Anolis sagrei: one gene and its partner. The protein of the gene in region 1 binds, or shares a complex with, the protein of each later gene. Links are inferred from orthologs where the notes say so. Each region holds a gene or a part of one and is shown in the gene's direction. Other genes may lie near its edges. The genes, in order: NUP43 and NUP37.

What was found.
Region 2: NUP43 (region 1) and NUP37 share a complex: the UniProt entries of both Homo sapiens proteins name them as parts of the nup107-160 subcomplex of the nuclear pore complex. The link is inferred for Anolis sagrei from reciprocal best matches to the Homo sapiens genes NUP43 and NUP37.

The regions. Positions count from the first base shown.
Region 1 is NC_090021.1:73,297,263-73,306,494, forward strand, and holds the start of NUP43 (nucleoporin Nup43), read left to right. Parts: upstream 1-4,584; 5' UTR 4,585-4,612; coding exon 4,613-4,732; intron 4,733-5,962; coding exon 5,963-6,085; intron 6,086-6,226; coding exon 6,227-6,304; intron 6,305-7,705; coding exon 7,706-7,874; intron 7,875-8,389; coding exon 8,390-8,525; intron 8,526-8,670; coding exon 8,671-8,822; intron 8,823-9,232. UniProt on the Homo sapiens protein: Component of the Nup107-160 subcomplex of the nuclear pore complex (NPC). The Nup107-160 subcomplex is required for the assembly of a functional NPC.
Region 2 is NC_090025.1:171,478,394-171,488,113, forward strand, and holds the start of NUP37 (nucleoporin Nup37), read left to right. Parts: upstream 1-5,125; 5' UTR 5,126-5,197; exon of another isoform or gene 5,198-5,263; intron 5,264-6,051; 5' UTR 6,052-6,107; coding exon 6,108-6,263; intron 6,264-9,720. Other genes in the region: PARPBP (PCNA-interacting partner), read right to left, coding at 1,744-1,893. UniProt on the Homo sapiens protein: Component of the Nup107-160 subcomplex of the nuclear pore complex (NPC). The Nup107-160 subcomplex is required for the assembly of a functional NPC.

The DNA.
Region 1 (9,232 bases):
CATGAGGGAGATGAAGGAGCTGAAGTGAAGGAGGGAGAGTCTTTGAAGGGGGCTCTTGATCCCTAACTAAATATAGGTGCCCCCCCCCCCAAATAATGTGTGCCCTTAGTAGAGTCTTATTGTTGTGTTTTAGTAGGATTTGTGTGTTTGATGCTGCTTTTATTTTAATCTGTCTGAATGATTAACTTCTTGGCAATGGAATGTTTTGCCTTATATGTTGGAACCCGCCTTGAGTCCCTTTGGGGAGATAGGGCGGTATACAAACGAAGTTAAATCTGATTTGGCCATGGTGGTCCATGTCCCAGGCACCTCTAGATTGGATTACTGCAACACGCTCTACGTGGGGTTGCCCTTGAAGACGGCCCGGAAGCTACAGTTGGTCCAAAGATCTGCGGCCATACTACTTATAGGAGCTGGTTACAGGGAGCAATCCACCCCCCTGTTTAAACAGCTCCACTGGCTTCCAATAAGTTTCCGGTCCCAATTCAAGGTGCAGGTTATTACCTATAAAGCCCTAAACCAGTGCTTCTCAACCTTGGGTCCCCAGATGTTTTTGGCCTACAACTCCCAGAAATCCCAGCCAGTTCACCAGCTGTTAGGATTTCTGGGAATTGTAGGCCAAAAACATCTGGGGACGCCAGGTTGAGAAACACGGCCCTAAACGGTTCGGGACCTGCTTATCTCCACGATTGCATCTTCCTCTATGAACCAGCGCGCACCTTGACATCATCCAGGGAGGCACTACTCTCTCTCCCTCTGCTGTCTCAAACACAGTTGGTGGGGACGAGGGAGAGGGCCTTCTCGATGGTGACTCCCAGACCCTGGAACTCCCTCCCTAGGGAGATCAGACAGGCTCCTACTTTGTCCTCTTTCCAGACACAACTAAAAACCTGGGTGTTCCGGTGTGCTTTTGATTAGGCAGTCCACCAGTAATTTTCCCTGTCCCTACGTTAAGTTCAGCACTTTACACCTGCCCTTTTAGCAGCCTACCTCAACACTTTTGATGCCACTATTCCCAGCCCTGTCTACTTGATTGTTGCACTTGATAATAAATGAAATGAAAACCCTTGTTGTTTTCAATTGTGATTGTTTTCATATGTTATCTTATGTTTTTAATTGATTGTGTTTTATTTGTAATTGTTGGGCTTGTCCCTTGTAAGCCACCCTAAGTCCCCACAGGGAGATGGTTGGCGGGGTATAAAAATAAAGTTGTTGTTGTTGTTATGCCATATAATGTAGTTTCAGAATGCAGATTATTTGCACCGAACTGGATTATATGAGTCTACGCTGCCATGTAATCCAGTTCAATGCAGTTGATCTGCATTCTGAAACAGTATTACAATAGAGTCTTGCTTTTTATTTATTTATTTACTACATGTATACCCTGCCCCGAAGGGGACTCAGAGTGGCTTACAAGTTATTTGTACATACAATATATTATATTATTAGCATAGCACAAAATTAGCATTATATATTACTATATTGTACTATACCACCATACTGTAATATTTGATGCAATATATATCATTATTATATTGTATTGTTATTAGTAGTAGTGTTATATTGCATTACATTATAATATTAATATTATATGTGTATACAATATATTATTAGCATAGCACAAAATTAGCATTATATATTACTATATTGTACTATACCACTATACTGTAATATTACATGTAATATAAACAGGTCAGTGGAATGTTGGATAAGCAAAAATGTTGGATAATAAAGAAGGATTAAGGAAAAGCTTATTAAATGTCAAATTATGTTATGATTTTCCAAGTTAAGTACCAAAACACCATGTTTTACAACAAATCGACAGAAAAAGCAGTTCAATACACGCTAACGTTATGTTTTAATTACTGTATTTACGAATTTAGCACCAAAACATCGCAATGTATTGAAACAGCTGTGGATCCAGGCATTAGGCAGACTGCATTAGATAATACAGAGCGTTGGATGCGTGAAGGTTGGATAAGTGAGACTCTACTATAGTAGCTAAAGTGGTTATTTGAAGCTTAAACCCTGTATGTCCCAGATGTAGAGCCCACATATGCATTTGGCCTGTAGAGAAAAATATATATAACCATAACCTAAATTTTGAATTAAATTATAATTTTATGCAAGGGGTTCAAATGGTTGCCAACTTGCAGATCTCATTTTAAACATTATCCTGTATACCAACCATGGGCAAACTTTGGCCCTCCAGGTGTTTTGGGCTCCAATTCCCAAAAACCAATTCCCAAACACCGCATTGACATGGCACAACATAGGTAGTGTATTTGTGGTACTGGTGCTGGAGGAAAAATTCTGAGAGTGCCTTGGACCTCAAGATGATCAAAACAGTCCATACTGCTCTCTGGAGGGAAGGATATTAGAGGCAAAGATGAAGTATGCTACTTTGGCCACATAATGAGAAGACAGGAAAGATAATGATCCTGGAGAAAAATGAAAGAAAAAGGAAGAGGGGTCGATCAAAGGCAAGATGGATTGATGGTATCCTTGAAGTGACTGGCTTGACTCTGAAGGAGCTGGAGGTAGTGACGGCCGACAGGAAACTCTGGTGAGGCCTGGTCCATGAGGTCATGGAGAGTCAAATGATTGAACGAATAAACAACAACAAATTTGTGGTACTGCATAAAAGGCTGCTCCAAGTATCACTTGGGGAACTCGGGAAATGTGATTTATGTTTAGGAAACAAGTGCAACATATGTATGTATCTATGTATCTGTAGAGAACAACCTCTTCTCAAATGGAAACCTAACTTTGCATATACTGTACCATATTTACTTGAGTCTTAACACTCACCTTTTTGGGCTAAATTACCGTGCCAAAATTAGGGTGCACATACAATTCGCGTCATACAGTAATCTTAGTGACCCCAAAGGGAAACAGTGTTCAAGAGAGCAAACTTAAAGGCACCAGGAGGGTGAGGAGGGACAATGACAATGTGTTGTCGAAGGCTTTCATGGCAGGAATCATTGGGTTGCGGTGGGTTTTCCAGGCTGTATGGCCATGTTCAGGAAAGAACTCTCCCGATGACAAGAAATCTGCTTGTGTACACCTTGTTATATCCACATCAGCGCATTAGCACTCATAACTATTGGCAAAATGCTTATGAGGAGCAGCATATCTCAGAGAGTCATTAACAAAAAAAGGTGAAAGAACTTTTGGCAGCTCTCCTGTAGCTTTGGCGGTTCCCTTGCTTCCACGTTAGCCAAACCTTTCTGGGCACCACGAGACCATTTCCAAGGACTAATGACTTCATGTGTGGACTCTCTTTAAGGTAACCAGATTTTAATCCCACTTCCTAACTCTGGATTAAGTGGCTGTCTGGGGAAAAAAGAGAAACTTCTTAAAAATATGCTAGAAAAATGGGACAGCATAGAATTAAACGAGACCCTTCCTGCCAAATTGGGACAGATATGACTATGCCATAAAGGCCTTTGCCAGTCCCAAGAAGCTCCCATTCATCCCACTTGTTAGTCCATGGCCCTATCCACACTGCCATATAATCTAGTTTCAGAATGCAGATTAACTTCATTGAACTGGATTATATGGCAGCGTAGACTCCAGTTCGATGTGGTTCAATCTGCATTATAGGAGTGCACACTGACCATTATAATGCAGTTCAAACTGGGTTATATGGCAGTATAGATGGGGCCTCGTCCAAAAACAGACTTTATTTCTTGACTTGCTCATCTTCTCTATTACCTCCTTTGTGGCTCCTGCACCCCTCTCCTCTCTAATTTATTTCCCTTCTACATTTCACAGTCAGTATGCCATAGCATTGAGTCATTCATGACAGGTAAACTGCATGAAATCTGCAGTGTAGTTGCAGCCCTTGTCGTTTTGGTCTTTCCGAATAGACTTAATTGGTGAAAACACCAACAGAGTCTGGGTTGCTGTGAGTTTTCCAAGCTGTATGGCCATGTTCCAGAAGCATTCTCTCCTGAAGAAACCAGCATGGACACAGCATATTATTTGAGAACACAGAAATGCTGGACTACTAACATCTACCATGTTAGATTACACTGAGAAGCTACTGAAATCCACAAGCATGTGGACAATTTCAACAGAATGGAGGAAACCATGAAAATGAACAAAATCTGGCTACCACTATTTTAAAAAATCAGGACAGTGAATAAAAAGCAACATTCAAAAAACAGGGGAATTCCAGACAAGAATCAATCAGAGCCAACTAACACCTCCCAACAAAGGATCCCCAGGCAGCAACCAGACCGGCTTTGAAGCTGCAAGGCCATTAAATGCTAATCAAAGTGGCCAATTGCAACATTCACACTTGCCTCAAGCAGGCAAGAGTTCTTTCTCCCACCCTGGACATTAAAGTCAGGAGAGAATGCTTCTGGAACATATCCACACAGCCCGGAAAACTCACAGCAACCCATTGATTCCGACCATGAAAGCCTGCGACAACACAGCCAACAAAGTCCGTTCCAGCAGCCTTCCCAGTAGAGAGTATTGACCTTTGTGGGTTGCCGTCTCACGTGGTGCTCGCCGTCCAATAGGAAAGGGGCGCATGCAAGCCGGGGGGAGGGCCTCGGCTGCGGCGGGAAGGAAGGAAGGAGCTTGTCTCTGGCGGCGAAGCATGGAGGAGGTCTTGGCCCGATATGTCTCCCAGAAAGTCAGCAAGACCCGCTGGCGGCCCCTCCCTCCCGCTGCCCTCCAGCCCCCGGAGGTCTTCGCCACGGGATCCTGGGACAACGAGGTGAGGCCTGGGAGGTGGAGCTTGGCAAGGCCATGGGAGAGGTCGGGCCTTCACCGAACTACAACTCCCATGAATCCATAGCACCGAGACATGGCAATTAAAGTGGGCCAATGCATTAATTCTGTAATATAGAAGAGGCATAAGCAAACTTGGGCCCTCCAGGTGTTTTGGACTTCGACTCCCACAATTCCTCGCAGCCTCAGGCTGCGAGGAATTGTGGGAGTCGAAGTCCAAAACACCTGGAGAGCCCAAGTTTGCCCATGCCTGGTTTAGGCCATTCTAGTATAGTGTCTAGATCAGGCGTCCTCAAACTTTTTAAACAGAGGGCCAGGTGACAGTCCCTCAAACTGTTGGAGGGTCGGATTATAATTTGGGGGGAAAAACATGAATAAATTCCTATGCACACTTTGTAGTGCAAAAAACACTTTAAAACAATACAATACAATAATTAAAATGAAGAACAATTTTAACAAATATAAACTCATTAGTATTTCAATGGGAAGTTGTGAGCCTGCTTTTGGCTGATGTGATAGGGTTGTTGTTGTTGTTGTTGTTGTTGTTTGCTTTCAAGTAGTTTCAGACCCTGAGCGAGGGCCAGGTAAATCACCTTGGAGGGCTGTATCCGGCCCCTGGGCCTTAGTTTGAGGACCCCTGGTCTAGATCCAGGGAAGTCATGCTACCCCTCTATTCTGCCTTGGTATTCCATCTGGAATAGTGTGTCCAGAGGAGGGTGACTAAAATGATTAAGGGTCTGGAGAACAAACCCTTTGAGAAGCGGCTTAAAAAGCTGGGCATGTTTTGCATCCAGAAGAGAAGGATGAGATGAGACATGATGACCATGTATAAATATATGAGGGCAAGTCATAGGGAGGAGGGAGCAAGCTTGTTTTCTGCTGCCCTGGAGACTAGGACGCGGAACAATGGCTTCAAACTACAGGAAAGGAGATTTCACCTGAACATTAGAAAGAATTTCCTAACTGTAAGAGCTGTTCAGCAGTGGAACTCTCTGGCCCAGAGTGTGGTTGTGGCTCCTTCTTTGGGGGCTTTTAAACAGAGGCTGGGTGGGGGGAGAGGGTGCTTTGAATGTGATTTCCTGCTTCTTGGCAGGGGGTTGGACTGGATGTCCCACAAGATGTCTTCTAACTCTATGATTCATATGCAGTAACTTTTCCTTATCCTGGTTGTTTTTCTTTTTTGTTATTCTCTCTCTCTCTCTTGGTAATCTTATAGGAAAATAAGGTGTCTTTTTGGTCTGTTGGAGACTTGGGAAGTTTGAACACAAATGGAGAATATAACGCAGAACCGCATCTTTTGTGTGATATTCAACATAGTGGCGATGTTATGGATATGCAGGTAAAAGGCTATAAAATGACTTTAAAGCTTTCCAAGCACTGTGTTATTGATGTCACTAAAGTTACACAGTATAAATGGGACACTGGTTCTGTTTGATACTTTATTTCAATACAAATTCATATCTGAATATTTTGTCCTTAGTTTTTGGACCAGGAAAGAATTGTAGCTGCTTCATCCACTGGAAGTGTGACTGTTTTTCGGCACCATCAAAATAATCAGGTAAATTAATCAGGTTTGCTTACATCTATTCTGTTGTACAAAAAATTACCTTGCTCTCAAGAAAACACAAGGCAGAAAAAAGTTGGTTTGTGGGCAAGGTGATCAAGTAGGTCACAGCAAGATATTCTTATATTAAATGGCTTTTCCAGATCTATTTCAGTTGCTTAGTCTAGTGAATAAAACTGCTTCTATCTCTCCACCACCACAGGAGAGACAATAACAATGTGACTCCATTCATTTTTCTGGATCACTCAGCAGCTTTAATTGCCATTGGTGCTGTTATCTTTTTTTGAGAAGTTGTGTGTAGGAGATACAGATTTTCAATGGCTTTGCTTGTATTTAGATTGCTATTTTTTAAAGGTCATATTGAGGGATTTCTTGTCACTTGCATAGCATTTGTGCTTTGAGGTTCCTCTGGGCTACATTTTCTTTATTACACTGCATTACACAGGGAGCAGATAACACTGTCATATAAATTAGTTGATCTAGCCCAGTATTGTGAACACTAACTGGCAGCAACCCTGCAGGTGCGTATTTCTCCCAGCCCTATCTGGAAATACCTGTTGGCCTCTCTATTCAAGTGCTAATCATTCCTAACTATGCTAAGCTTCTGAGATTAGGCAACATTTGTGTGAAACTGTTGTGTGAGGTCATCTAGAGATTTAAAGTGATTTAAGGATGATGTCCAGCTCCATTTCCTTTTTCATCAGTGGATGTGTTTCATCAGTGGCTGGCTGCAGGGCTGAATTAGGGCCAGCACAGGTTGAACACCCCTTATCTGAAATTCTGAAATCCAGGATCTAAAATAATCTTTATCCATAGCTGAGATAGTGACACATTTGCTTTCTGATGGTTCAGTGTACATGCACTTTGTTTCATGCGCATCATTTAAAACATTTGTATATAGAATTACCTTCAGGCTGTGTGTATAAGATGTATGTATCACATAAGTAAAATTCATATTTAGGTTGGGGTTCCATCAAGATCTCATTACATATTTGCAAACAACAACAGATCTAAAACATTTTGAGTAAGGGATACTCAACCTATATTGAATTCAATCAAGATAAGTCTGAGGTACTACTTTGGGGCTGCTTGTTCAGGTTGCTCCTTTAAGTGATTATCCTGATAGTTTGTGGGGCTGTCTTTATAATTAGGAATACAAGTATCATTTGTACACAGGTCATCTTTTACTGCCTTTGTCTGAGATTCCAGCTACAAGGCACCCCAGGCCATTTTGGCAGCTCCCATGGGGTCCCACAGTCTCCTCTTCAAATTCAGGCAAGGAGGAAATACTGGTGTTCGTGACTCTCTTTCTCTCTCAGTGTCTCTCTCTTCTAAGTCTTGGTCATTACATTTTTTCCACATGCCCATTTTCATTGTTTTTCTTTGGTTTTTCAGACTCTATCTGTAAGCCAAAAATGGGAAAATGCACATTTCTATGACCCATCTCATGGAAATGCACCCTGCACCGGGATTGTCTGCAACAGCCCTGAAATTTTTACAGTTGGTGAAGATGGGAGGATAAATGTATTCACAGTGGACCGGAAGGAAGCTGTGCGTACTGTAGGTAGGCAGTTAAGATGCCTGTACTAAAGTTCTAAACTATTATTCCAACATAGTGTTGTAGCCTTCAGTGCAGAACCCCTTAAATGCAGGAAAAATAAAATCATTTGTCTTTACCTGGGAAGTTATTGTAGCATGCCTGAAGTATCAATATTTTAAAGTGAATTTATATGACACCAGTAATATGAAAAACACTTTTTTGAACATGGTGGATCAGGTCTCCTGCCCTATCTCTTTGCTGAAGTACAGAAAGTTCTTTGCTAGATATCTGTAAACCGTATCCAGTTAGAGTTCCTTAGAGAATGCTATCAGTTCCCAAAGTTGTAAACAGTATTATCTAATAGGTAAATCAACATCAGCATTCCCCTTAAGAGTCTCTTAAGCTTTGGACTCTGAATTTTCAAAATGTATATGGCACATAGTTGGCATAACCTTACAGTTGCTTATTTGTTTACTGCACTAATTCTAGCATGCTTTAAATCAAAAGGACTGATATGAGTGTCTCTTTTAATTTCTCAGACAATGCTGACAGCAGCACACTTCATGCAGTGACTCGACTTCGCACAACAGAAATCTTGACAGTGAATTCCATTGGTCAGCTAAAAATATGGGATTTCAGACAGCAAGGAAATGAGCCTTCACAAATATTTTCATTGTAAGCACTTCATTCTGAGCTTATGGGCACTGTCAGAGCCAAATGTCACACTGTAACTACGGTATGTGACATTTTATTCAGCTAGGACTCTGACTACTGTCTTTGTGGATTTTCCATCAAAGTATGTCTTGCTCTCTTCTTGCAGGACGGGGGAAAGGATTCCACTTCACTGTGTAGATAGGCACCCCAGCCAACAGCACATTGTAGCCACTGGTAGCCAAGATGGTATGTTGAGTATCTGGGATGTGAGACAAGGTGACATACCAGTTTCCTTGCTGAATGCTCACGAAGCAGAATGTAAGTAACTAAATAAACAGATTTCATGCTTGAATCTTTGATGACACTACCACTATGTGTAAAATGTTCCATATGTGTAAGAGAAATCCCCGTAGTGCTCAGTAAATCTCTTTTTCTTTATTATTTGGCATATACATGATTGGGCAGTCTGTACTTGCCTTTTATATTCCCATACCCAGCTAACTAGAAACTCTAAACAGCAAGTCAGACAAAGTGTCTGCCCTCAATTGACACTTTCTGTATCAATACATGTGTTGGTGGTACAGATGAAAACAAGTTAACAGTCTTAGAAACAGAGAATCACAAGACAATGGGCTAACTCAGGAATGTTGGATTTATGAAAGAAATAGAATAATACTTGGGGGCATTAGGGCTATGGCAAAGGAATTAAAATGCAGTACTATTTGCAA
Region 2 (9,720 bases), on another chromosome or scaffold:
ACTTTTTTCTTTTCCACAATCGTGATGTCTGGTGTATTGTGTTCCAAAACTTTGTCAGTCTGGATTCAAAAGTCCCACAGTATTTTTGCATGTTCATTTTCCACAACCTTTGCAGATTTATGATCCCACCAATTCTTTACTGCTGGCAGGTGGTACTTGTGACATAGGTTCCAATGAATAATCTGGACCAAAGAGTTGCGTATTTGTTTGTAGTCCGTCTGTGCAATTTTCTTGCAACAGCTGAGGATATGATCCATGGTTTCATCAGCTTCCTTGCATAGTCTGCATTTTGGGTCATCCGCTGATTTTTCAATCCTGGCCTTAATTGCATTGGTTCTGATGGCTTGCTTCTGGGCTGCAAGAATCAGGCCTTCTGTCTCCTTATTCAGGGTTCCATTCATGAGAGCCATAACCAGGTCTTCTCCTTGTCAACTTTTCCTTCAATCTTCTCAAGGAACTGCCCATGCAAAGCTTTGTTGTGCCAGCTGTCAGCTCTGGTTTGGAGTGCAGTTTTCTTGTACTGGTTCTTGGTTTGCTGTGCTTTGAGAAGTTTCTGATTGACTTCAATTAAAGCAGGTTCTTGGCTTTCCTTTACATATTCTGCCAGGGAGTGTTTTTCTTCTTCGACTGCTTGTTTTACTTGTAAAAGTCCTCTGCCCCCAGACTTTCTAGGCAGATAGAGCCCGTTGACATCACTGTGAGGATGTAATGAATTATGAATGGTCATGAGTTTTCTAGTTTTTCTGTCCAAATTGTCCAGTTCTGCCTGTGTCCAGTTTATGATGCCAGCAGAGAACTCCAGGTCTCGGCGGTGGCCAGGGGAGCTTTCACACAGTTAAAACTTGTGTGCCAGCTGCACCCATATCTTGTGAAATCTGACTTGGCCATGGTGGTCCATGCTCTGGTTACATCCCGAATACATTACTGCAATGTACTCTATGTGGGGTTGCCTCTGAAGACTGCTCGGAAGCTTCAGCTAGTCCAACGCTCAGCAGCCAGGTTGCTCACGGGAGAGGGGAACAGGGAATGTACAATTCCCCTGTTACGCAAGCTCCGCTGGCTGCCTTTTAGTTTCCGGGCACAATTCAAAGTGCTGGTCTTAACCTATAAAGCCCCAAATGGTTCCTGCCCAGTTTACCTGTCCAAACGTATCTCCCTCCATGAACCACCAAGGACCTTAAGATCATCCAGAGAGGCCTTACTCTCGGTCCTAACGCCATTGCAGTTGCGTGGGTATGAGGCAGGGCCCTCGGCTGTGGTACTCCCTTCCTGATGAGATTAGATCTGCCCCATCCCTCCTGACCTTCCGGAAGAAACTCAAATCCTGGCTGTGGGATCAAGCATTTGCAGAATAGACTGATTTACTGGTGAAGATAAGCTTTAAATGGACTGCAGTGGACTGATTTGGATGTCGATTTGAACCAGCAACTGTTTTAATGTTTTTAATGTATGCTAATTGTATTTTATGTTATTTTATTATATTGTGTCGACATCAAATAGTTGCCTGTTGGAAGCTGTCCTGAGTCCATCTTCAGAGATTGAGAAGGACGGGTATAAATGTTCTGAACAAATAAATAATTCAGACATATTAACTTAATTTGGGCAGTTTACAAATGCAACAATGAATATGTGTTGTTGTTTTGTTGTTTATTCGTTCACTCGCTTCAGACTCTTCATGATCTCATGGAGCAGCCCACATCAGAGCTCAAGGTCAAGCCAGTTACTGTCTCTTAGTACACTAACCTTTTTATTGATTTCTGCAACTGATAGCTGCAAAGCCACCAGCATGGAGTCTATACCACATACAGTTGTCCTTTCAGAATCTGAATATAAGCGCCATTCCTTTCGAAAACACCGAATCATATCCAAGATTCTTTGCTGGACAAATGACATGATCCTAAAACAAATAAAACAAGATATAAAATGAACATAACTGAGAGAGAGGACCTGTGAACATTCAAATGGAAAAGATGGACTAGCGCAAGGGCCCCCAAACTAAGGCCCATGGGCCAAATGCGGTGCTCCAAGGTTATTTACCTGGCCCCCAGTCTAAACTTTACATTTAGGGTTGCCCTAGGTCTGAAACGACTTGAAGACAAACAACAACAATCTTAATTAACTTGACTCTTTCATCAGCCAAATGCAGCCCCACACTGCAGCACATTTTGCCATATTTTTCAATGAATATCTCATAATTTCAACCAATTCAACATAGTTTGTGACAGCTACAACAATGTAGTTTCTGGACTATAACTACTTTCAAAGTACTGCACAATTAAACAGGAATGGCACTTTCAACATAAGAACACAATTTATTTTAGAATTTTAGATTTTAGAAAGGTGGTTTCAAAAAAGGGCATCAGATACGATTTTTTTTGTCATGTCAGGAGCGACTTGAGAAACTGCAAGTCGTTTCTGGTGTGAGAGAATTGTCCATCTGCAAGGACGCTGCCCAGGGGACGCCCGGATGATTTGATGTTTTTATCATCCTTGTGGGAGGCTTCTCTCATGTCCTTGCATGGGGTGCTGGAGTCGATAGAAGGAGCTCATCCGCCTCTCCCCGGATTCGAACCTGTGACTTGTCAGTCTTCAGTCCTGCCGGCACAGGGGTTTAACCCACTGCGTCACTGGGGGCTCCTTGTCAGATATGATAAAGCATCTTTATCATCGGCCATGCCCTGGAACCTGTCCAGATATTCTAGTCTATAATGGGATACAAGTTGCAATTAAACACATCTAAAAGAGAACAACCCGGGGAAGGTTTATCTACATTGACTTAGTGAACAGGACTCACATCTACAGCTGGGCCTAGGCTCCTTGGAAGAAATTTGTTATGTGCCTTCAAGTCATTTCTTAAGATGAATCCCTGGAGTATTACAGCACACCAAAATACACGGAAGTCACTCTGGACCATGCTCTAACCTATAAGAAGAACTGTTTGAATATCAAGCAAAAAGTGTGTGCTAGAAATAATATTGTACAAAAACTGATTGGCACAACCTGGGAATCACAACCAGACACAGTGAAGAAATCTGCCCTTGTGAGTTACTACTCTGCTGCTGACTATGCATGCCCAGTGTGGAATACATCTCACCACATTAAAACAGTGGATGTGACTCTTAATAAGACATGCCGCCCCACACCACTGAAGAAATTACACTGTTTAGCTGGTATTGCACCATCTGACATCTGCTGGGAAGTAGCAGTTAGCAATGAAAGGACCAAGGCAGTGACATATTCGGCCCATCCTCTGTTCGGATATCAATAAGCATGCCAACACCTTAAATCAAGAAACATCTTCCTAAGATCTACAGAGATACTCACGGGAACACCTCAGCAAATGAGAGTCCAAAAGTGGCAGGCTAAAATCCAGCACTTAAATCAGTGGCTGAGACTGGATGATAAACTCCCTCCTGGGCACACAGAAGAGTGGAAAGCGCTGAATAGACTGCCCTCTGGCACCATGAGATGCAGAGCTAACCTTAAGAAATGGGGACCACAAAGTGGAGTCCACGACATGCAAGTGTGGAGAAGAGCAAACCACAGACCACCTACTACAATGTAACCTGAGCCCTGCCACATGCAAAACAGAGGGCCTTCCCACAGTGACACCTGAGGCACTCCAAGTGGCCAACTTCAGGTCAAAGGACATTTAGCATAATGCCAAGTTCTTTTAAACTTTGTGTTTTTTAAATGCATTCTAACTGTACCCTCAACTTGCTTCTGACATGATAAATAAATCGATAACTCATTTCTAACTTATGCTGGCTCTAAAATTGGGAGTTGCTCTGGGCAGAGTGAAGAGAGAGAGGGTTACAATTGAAGACAGTTCCATCTTGTCTCCTGTGCTATACTAATAATATAATATATTGTATATACATATAATATTTATAATATTATAATGTAATACAATATAATACTACTACTAATAATATAATATTATAATTATATATTTTATATTACTTTAAAATTACTAATAATATTACAATGTAATGGTGTAGTACAATATAGTAATATATAATACTGATATTGTTGTTGTTCATTCCTTCAGTCGTTTCTGACTCTTCGTGACCTCATGGACCAGCCCACGCCAGAGTTCCCTGTCGGCCGTCAGCACCCCCAGCTCCTTCAAAGTCAATCCAGTCCCTTCAAGGATGCCATCCATCCATCTTGCCCTTGGTCGGCCTCTCTTCCTTTTTCCTTTCATTTCCCCCAGCATCACTGTCTTCTCTAAGTTTTCCATTCTTCTCATGATGCAGTACTTCATTTTTGCCTCTACTATCTTTCCCTCCAATGGACCAGTACAACTGATATTATACTATGCTAATAATTTAATATATTGTATGCATATATATCTTGCAAGCCACTCTGAGTCTCCTTCGGGGCGAGAAGGGTGGCATTTAAATGTCGTAAATAAATAAATAAAGCAAACCTATCATAGGATTTTCTTGGCAAGATTTCTTTAGAGTGGGGTTTGCCTTTGTTTTGCTCTAAGACAGAGAGGATGAGATTCGGACAAAGCCATTCAGAGGGTTTCCTTGGCCAAGTAAGGATTTGAACCCAAGTCTCCACTGTCACAGTCTAGTGCTCAAACCACTACACTTCTGTTGTCCCTTTTCGCAATATTTATATCAGGACTGGGCAAACTTGGTCCCTCCAGGTGTTTTGGACTTCAACTCTCACAATTCCTAACAGCCGATAGGCTGTTAGGAATTGTGAGAGTTGAAGTCCAAAACACCTGGAGGGACCAAGTTTGCCCAGGCCTAGTCTTCACTGTAGAATTAATGCAGTTTGAGATCACCTTAACTGCGATAATTAAATGCTATGGAATCTTTGGAGGTGTAGTTTGGTGAGGGACAACACTCTTTGCCAGAGATGGAGAAAGGCCTTGTAGACCTTGTAAAACTACAACTCCCTGGGTCCCATAGCCTTGAGCCAGGGCAGTTCAGGTGGAGTCGAGTCCCACTGGAGCCCCACGCCCCTCACCTGGGCACTGCGGCCTTCCTCGAGGCGCTCCCTCCAAGGAGGCTCCTTCCACAGAGCCAAAGAAGCAGCTGTCAGCGGCGGAGGTTTGAATTCGAACGCTGCGCGTCTCAACCAATCGGAAAGCGGGACCCGCGGCGACCCGGAAGAGACTCTCACCCGGAAGCGCAGCTGCCTCACGAATTCTTCGCGGGAGAGTAACAGAACGAATGAGGTGAGCGAGCGAAGGGATTGTTTGCGTGGGAATCCACCGGCCGCTCAACACCCCAGGCCGCTCTAAGTAAGGGAACGTTCATTGATATCTATATCTAAGAAAGTAGTGCTAATGGGTTCTATCCAATGCAATTTTCTGAACTGGCCCCCCAAATAAACCCAGAGACATCCCTAAAAAGCAAGACACCAAAAACGTTTTGTGGGGCTTTGTTATTATTACTATTATTATTTGGAACAATGAGAGTTATCTACAGGCCCGTAGCCAGGATTTCGGGTTTTTTTTGGGGGGGGGGGGTTAAATTTTTTTCGGGGGGGGGGTTTCGGGGGGGGGCTGAGTTTTGGTGGGGGGCTGAGTCTGAGTGAAAGAGGGTCTAGCCTAGCAAACCTTTTGTATCATTATCCCAATACCCCCATGCATATGGGATATATTGAGCATGGTGATCAGATCATGATATGAATACACATAACAGTTTAAATAATGCACCAGTAAGGCCTTCTTGCGTACCACTCTGAATCCCCTCCTAACTGAAGCATATGTCAAATCTGGTAATTCCCATGGCATACTTCCTTGGCAACTGAAGCAATAAACTTTTGATTCTGCCCTCCTTTCTGCATGTCTTGATTGCGAAACATTGGGGTTGGCATGCCAGAAACAAACAAACCTCAGGAGGATATATTGAGCATGGTGATCAGATCATGATATGAATAAACATAACAGTTTAAATAATGCACCAGAAAGGCCTTTTCGCGGACCACCATGAGAATTTCGGGGGGGGGGGGCTGAAGCCCCTCAAGCCCCCCCTCCTCCCCGGCTACATGCCTCGTTATCTAACTATGTGTATGTTTACTATTTAGCTCCTTGTCCAGCTGAGGAGTCTTCCATCTGGTTACTCAGAATACCTCCGCTGAAGATGAAACAGGAAGCTTCCCGAAGTGCATCCTATACTGTGGAATGTGAAGATTATGTGCATGTGGTGGAATTCAGCCCATTTGAGAGCGGAACTGCAGATTCTCTGATAGCATATGGTGGCAATCATTATGTGGTTGTTGGAACTTGCAGGTTTCAGGTTAGTGTGCATTATAGTTAACAGTGACCAGGTACCATGTTAGCCATTCAGCTAGTTTCCAGTGTTTGATAATAGAAACATGTTGGGAAGATTGTTGATATAGTTCCACTTCACTGTCTAATAGTGCCTCTAAATCAGGGGTCCTCAAACTTTTTAAACAGAGGGCTAGGTCACAGTCCCTCTAACTGCTGCAGGGCCGGATTATAATTTGAAAAAAGCATTAATTCCTATGCACACTGCACATATCTTATTTGTAGTGCAAAAACACTTAAAACAATGCAATAATTAAAATGAAGACAATTTTAACAAATATAAACTTATTAGTATTTCAATGGGAAGTGTGGACTTGCTTTTGGCTGATGAGATAGGATAGTTGTTGTTGTTGTTGTTGTGTGCTTTCAAGTTGTTTCAGACTTAGGCTGACCCTGAGCGAGGGCCGGGTATATGAACTTCGAGGGCCGTATTCGACCCTCGGGCCTTAGTTTGAGGATCCCTGCACTAAATGATCTGATAGCTGTCTTGGAAGTGATATTAAGAACTCCCATTCTTTGATATCCAGGCTGAGAGTGATATGTGAAACAGCACAGGACATCATAGTTGCCAAATTGTACGTATTACAGTTAAGTTCCTATTGTAGGAACTACTTTGTGACCATGATGGTAATTTTTAAAATGATCGAATTTACATGATGTTGACCACTGAAGGTCTTGTGAAACAAATTAATCTTACTTGATTGATACCCTAAAAGTTATCGGTAAAAAAAAAATCCATAAACCTGTTGTCTTCAGATTGTATTACATTTGGGAAATAAAATTGTTCATTTTTATGGTTATGTGACTTCCACAATTTTGACAGAACTGGAGGTGGACTTTTGTAGATATGGAACCTCTTGTTAACAGTACCTTTCTGCTTGTACAAGCAATGACTTCCTTTTTAGACCCTTCACCTCCAGATTCTGTTTAAAAGTCCCTAAAGAGGGAGCCTCCACCAGAGGCAGAGAGTTCCACTGCTGAACAGCTCTTACTGTCAGGAAGTTCTTCCTAATGTTAAGGTGGAATCTCCTTTCCTGTAATTTCAACCCATTGCTCCAAGTCCTGGTTTCCAGCACAGCAGAAAACAAGCCTGTTTCCTCTTCCTTATGACATCCTTTCAAATATTTATACATGGTAATAACGTCTCCTCTCAACCTTCTCTTCTGCAAGCTAAACATACCCAGCTCTTTAAGGTGCTCCTCATAGGGATTCATGGTCTCCAGACCTTTGATCATTTTAGTTGCCCTCCTCTGGATCCCGTCCAGCTTGTCAATATCTTCTCTTGAATTGTGGTGTCCAGAATTGGACACAGTAGTCCAGTTGTGGTCTAACCACAGCGGACTAGAGGTGCACCATGACTTCCCTTGATCTAGACTTCTTTTGATGCAGCCCAAACTCCCATTGAATTTTTAAGCTGCTGCATTACATCGTTGGCTCATGTTCAACTTGTGGTCTACTAATGTTAAGGTAATTTTGAATTCTGATGTCTCTCCCAGTTTGATGTCATCTGCAAACTATATAAGCATGCCTTCAAAATCTTCATTCAAGTCATTAATAAAGATGTTGAACAGCACTGGGCCTAGGGCAGAGCCGTGCACCACCCTATTAATCACCTCTGCCCAGGATGAAAAGATTGCTGATCGTTGTTTATTTTTTCCATAGGGTAGGAGCACTTAAAATCTGTTGTTGCAGGACATTTTATCCAGTTTTTTAGTCATTAATATTATAGTTTCCCTGGTTTCAGTCTTCTCCCAAATACCTTTCAGCATCTACATAACCCACTGATAGTTCTGTATATAGGTTTGTGTTGAGGTATTAAACTAATAAGCATCTTTACCCCTTCTGTACTTTTTTCACCATGTAATCTCAGGGAGGCAACTGCAACCTTGGATTTCTGAAGGAAGAACTAGAATTAATAGGAAATACCAATATGAAATCTAATGTTAAGACAGAAGTAGTTGTGCTAATCTGGGTCTAGATTTAAAATCTGATTCTAAATAGACATACATTGACCTTGTATGCAGTCTAGAAGTGCTCTAGGATTCATTTTTGTCCATGGAGGCACATGTGTCGCCATGAGTGCTTTGGACCAGTTTAGACTAGCTCACATGATCACAGCAGCACATGCCTTAGTTATGATTCAAGTTAACTTACTTTACTGTGCTCTGTTGCCATAGTGCTGCCCTTGAAAACAGTTTAGAAACTAACTGGTATGGATTGCAACAGTAAGGATTGTATGAAAACTAGGCACTTGAACTATATTACTTCCACCTGTTACTTTGGCTTTTAGTTTTCCTTATCCTGCTCATTTGCCAAAGGACAGCTTGGTCCTTGAACTCAATAGTTACCAAAATAGCCAAGGGCAAACTTTAACTGCTCAAACAGAAATTCAATAGCATTTTAAATAAAATGATATAATTCAGAGTGAACCCTGACTACACCCTTTATGAATTGTTTATATTCTTTGCCTTTTAGTTTTTAGACACAATTCAAGGCAGCAATTTTAGCTTTTACATTTGTAAGTCATCATTGGGCAGCCTACACATTGCATGTGAGTCTATCCCCCTCCCTTTTTTTTTTACACAAACAAGCTCTCTAAGATCAAGAAATACAAAAATATACTCAAATATTTTCCTGTCACGATTCAACAGTGCATTCAAGTGGTACTGTATTTTGCCACTGAACCCATCTAGAGCAGACTAGACTAGGAAGTGACATCATTTGAGGAGGCAATGACAGCTGAACTCTGCACTGCAGCCAGCTCTTTGCTGCATAGATCTAAATGTATTGTTGAAGGCTTTTATGGCCAGAATCACTGAAGTGTTGTGTGGTTTCTGGGCTGTATAGCTGTGTTCTAGCAGCATTTTCTTCTGGTGTTTTGCCTGCATCTGTGGCTGGCATCTTCAGAGGATAAACCTAAAATGAAGCCTTCAGTTTTTAATCTGCTTTATAGTAAGGTTTTATATGTGTAAATTCAGGCTGTATTAATACATATATAATTGATACTATATTAGTCTTGATTGTGTGTGTTTGTAACTATATGTGTGTTATTGTATTCTGTCATTTTTGCAAGCCAGCTTGAGTCCCAGTCTGGGAGACTCAAGGAGGGACATAAATAATGTGTGAAGTGGATGGATGCTTTCTCTGTCCTGCTGTGTAACACCCAGTTACCAACTTATACATGAGTATGGTAGATGGCATTATACACTAACAAGAATGTATAAAATTTATTCTAATTTGGCACAGTTTGATAGGGATATAATATGTTAGGCACGCTAAATCATATGTGAGCTTCATATTAAAAATGTGAAGCACTTTTGGGTAGACTTCCCAATCTGATCATTTTTATTACTGAAATGACAGGACAAAAAGTTATTATTTTTTTTAAATGAAAAACTATCATTTTCAATTTTTTTTAAAAAAAT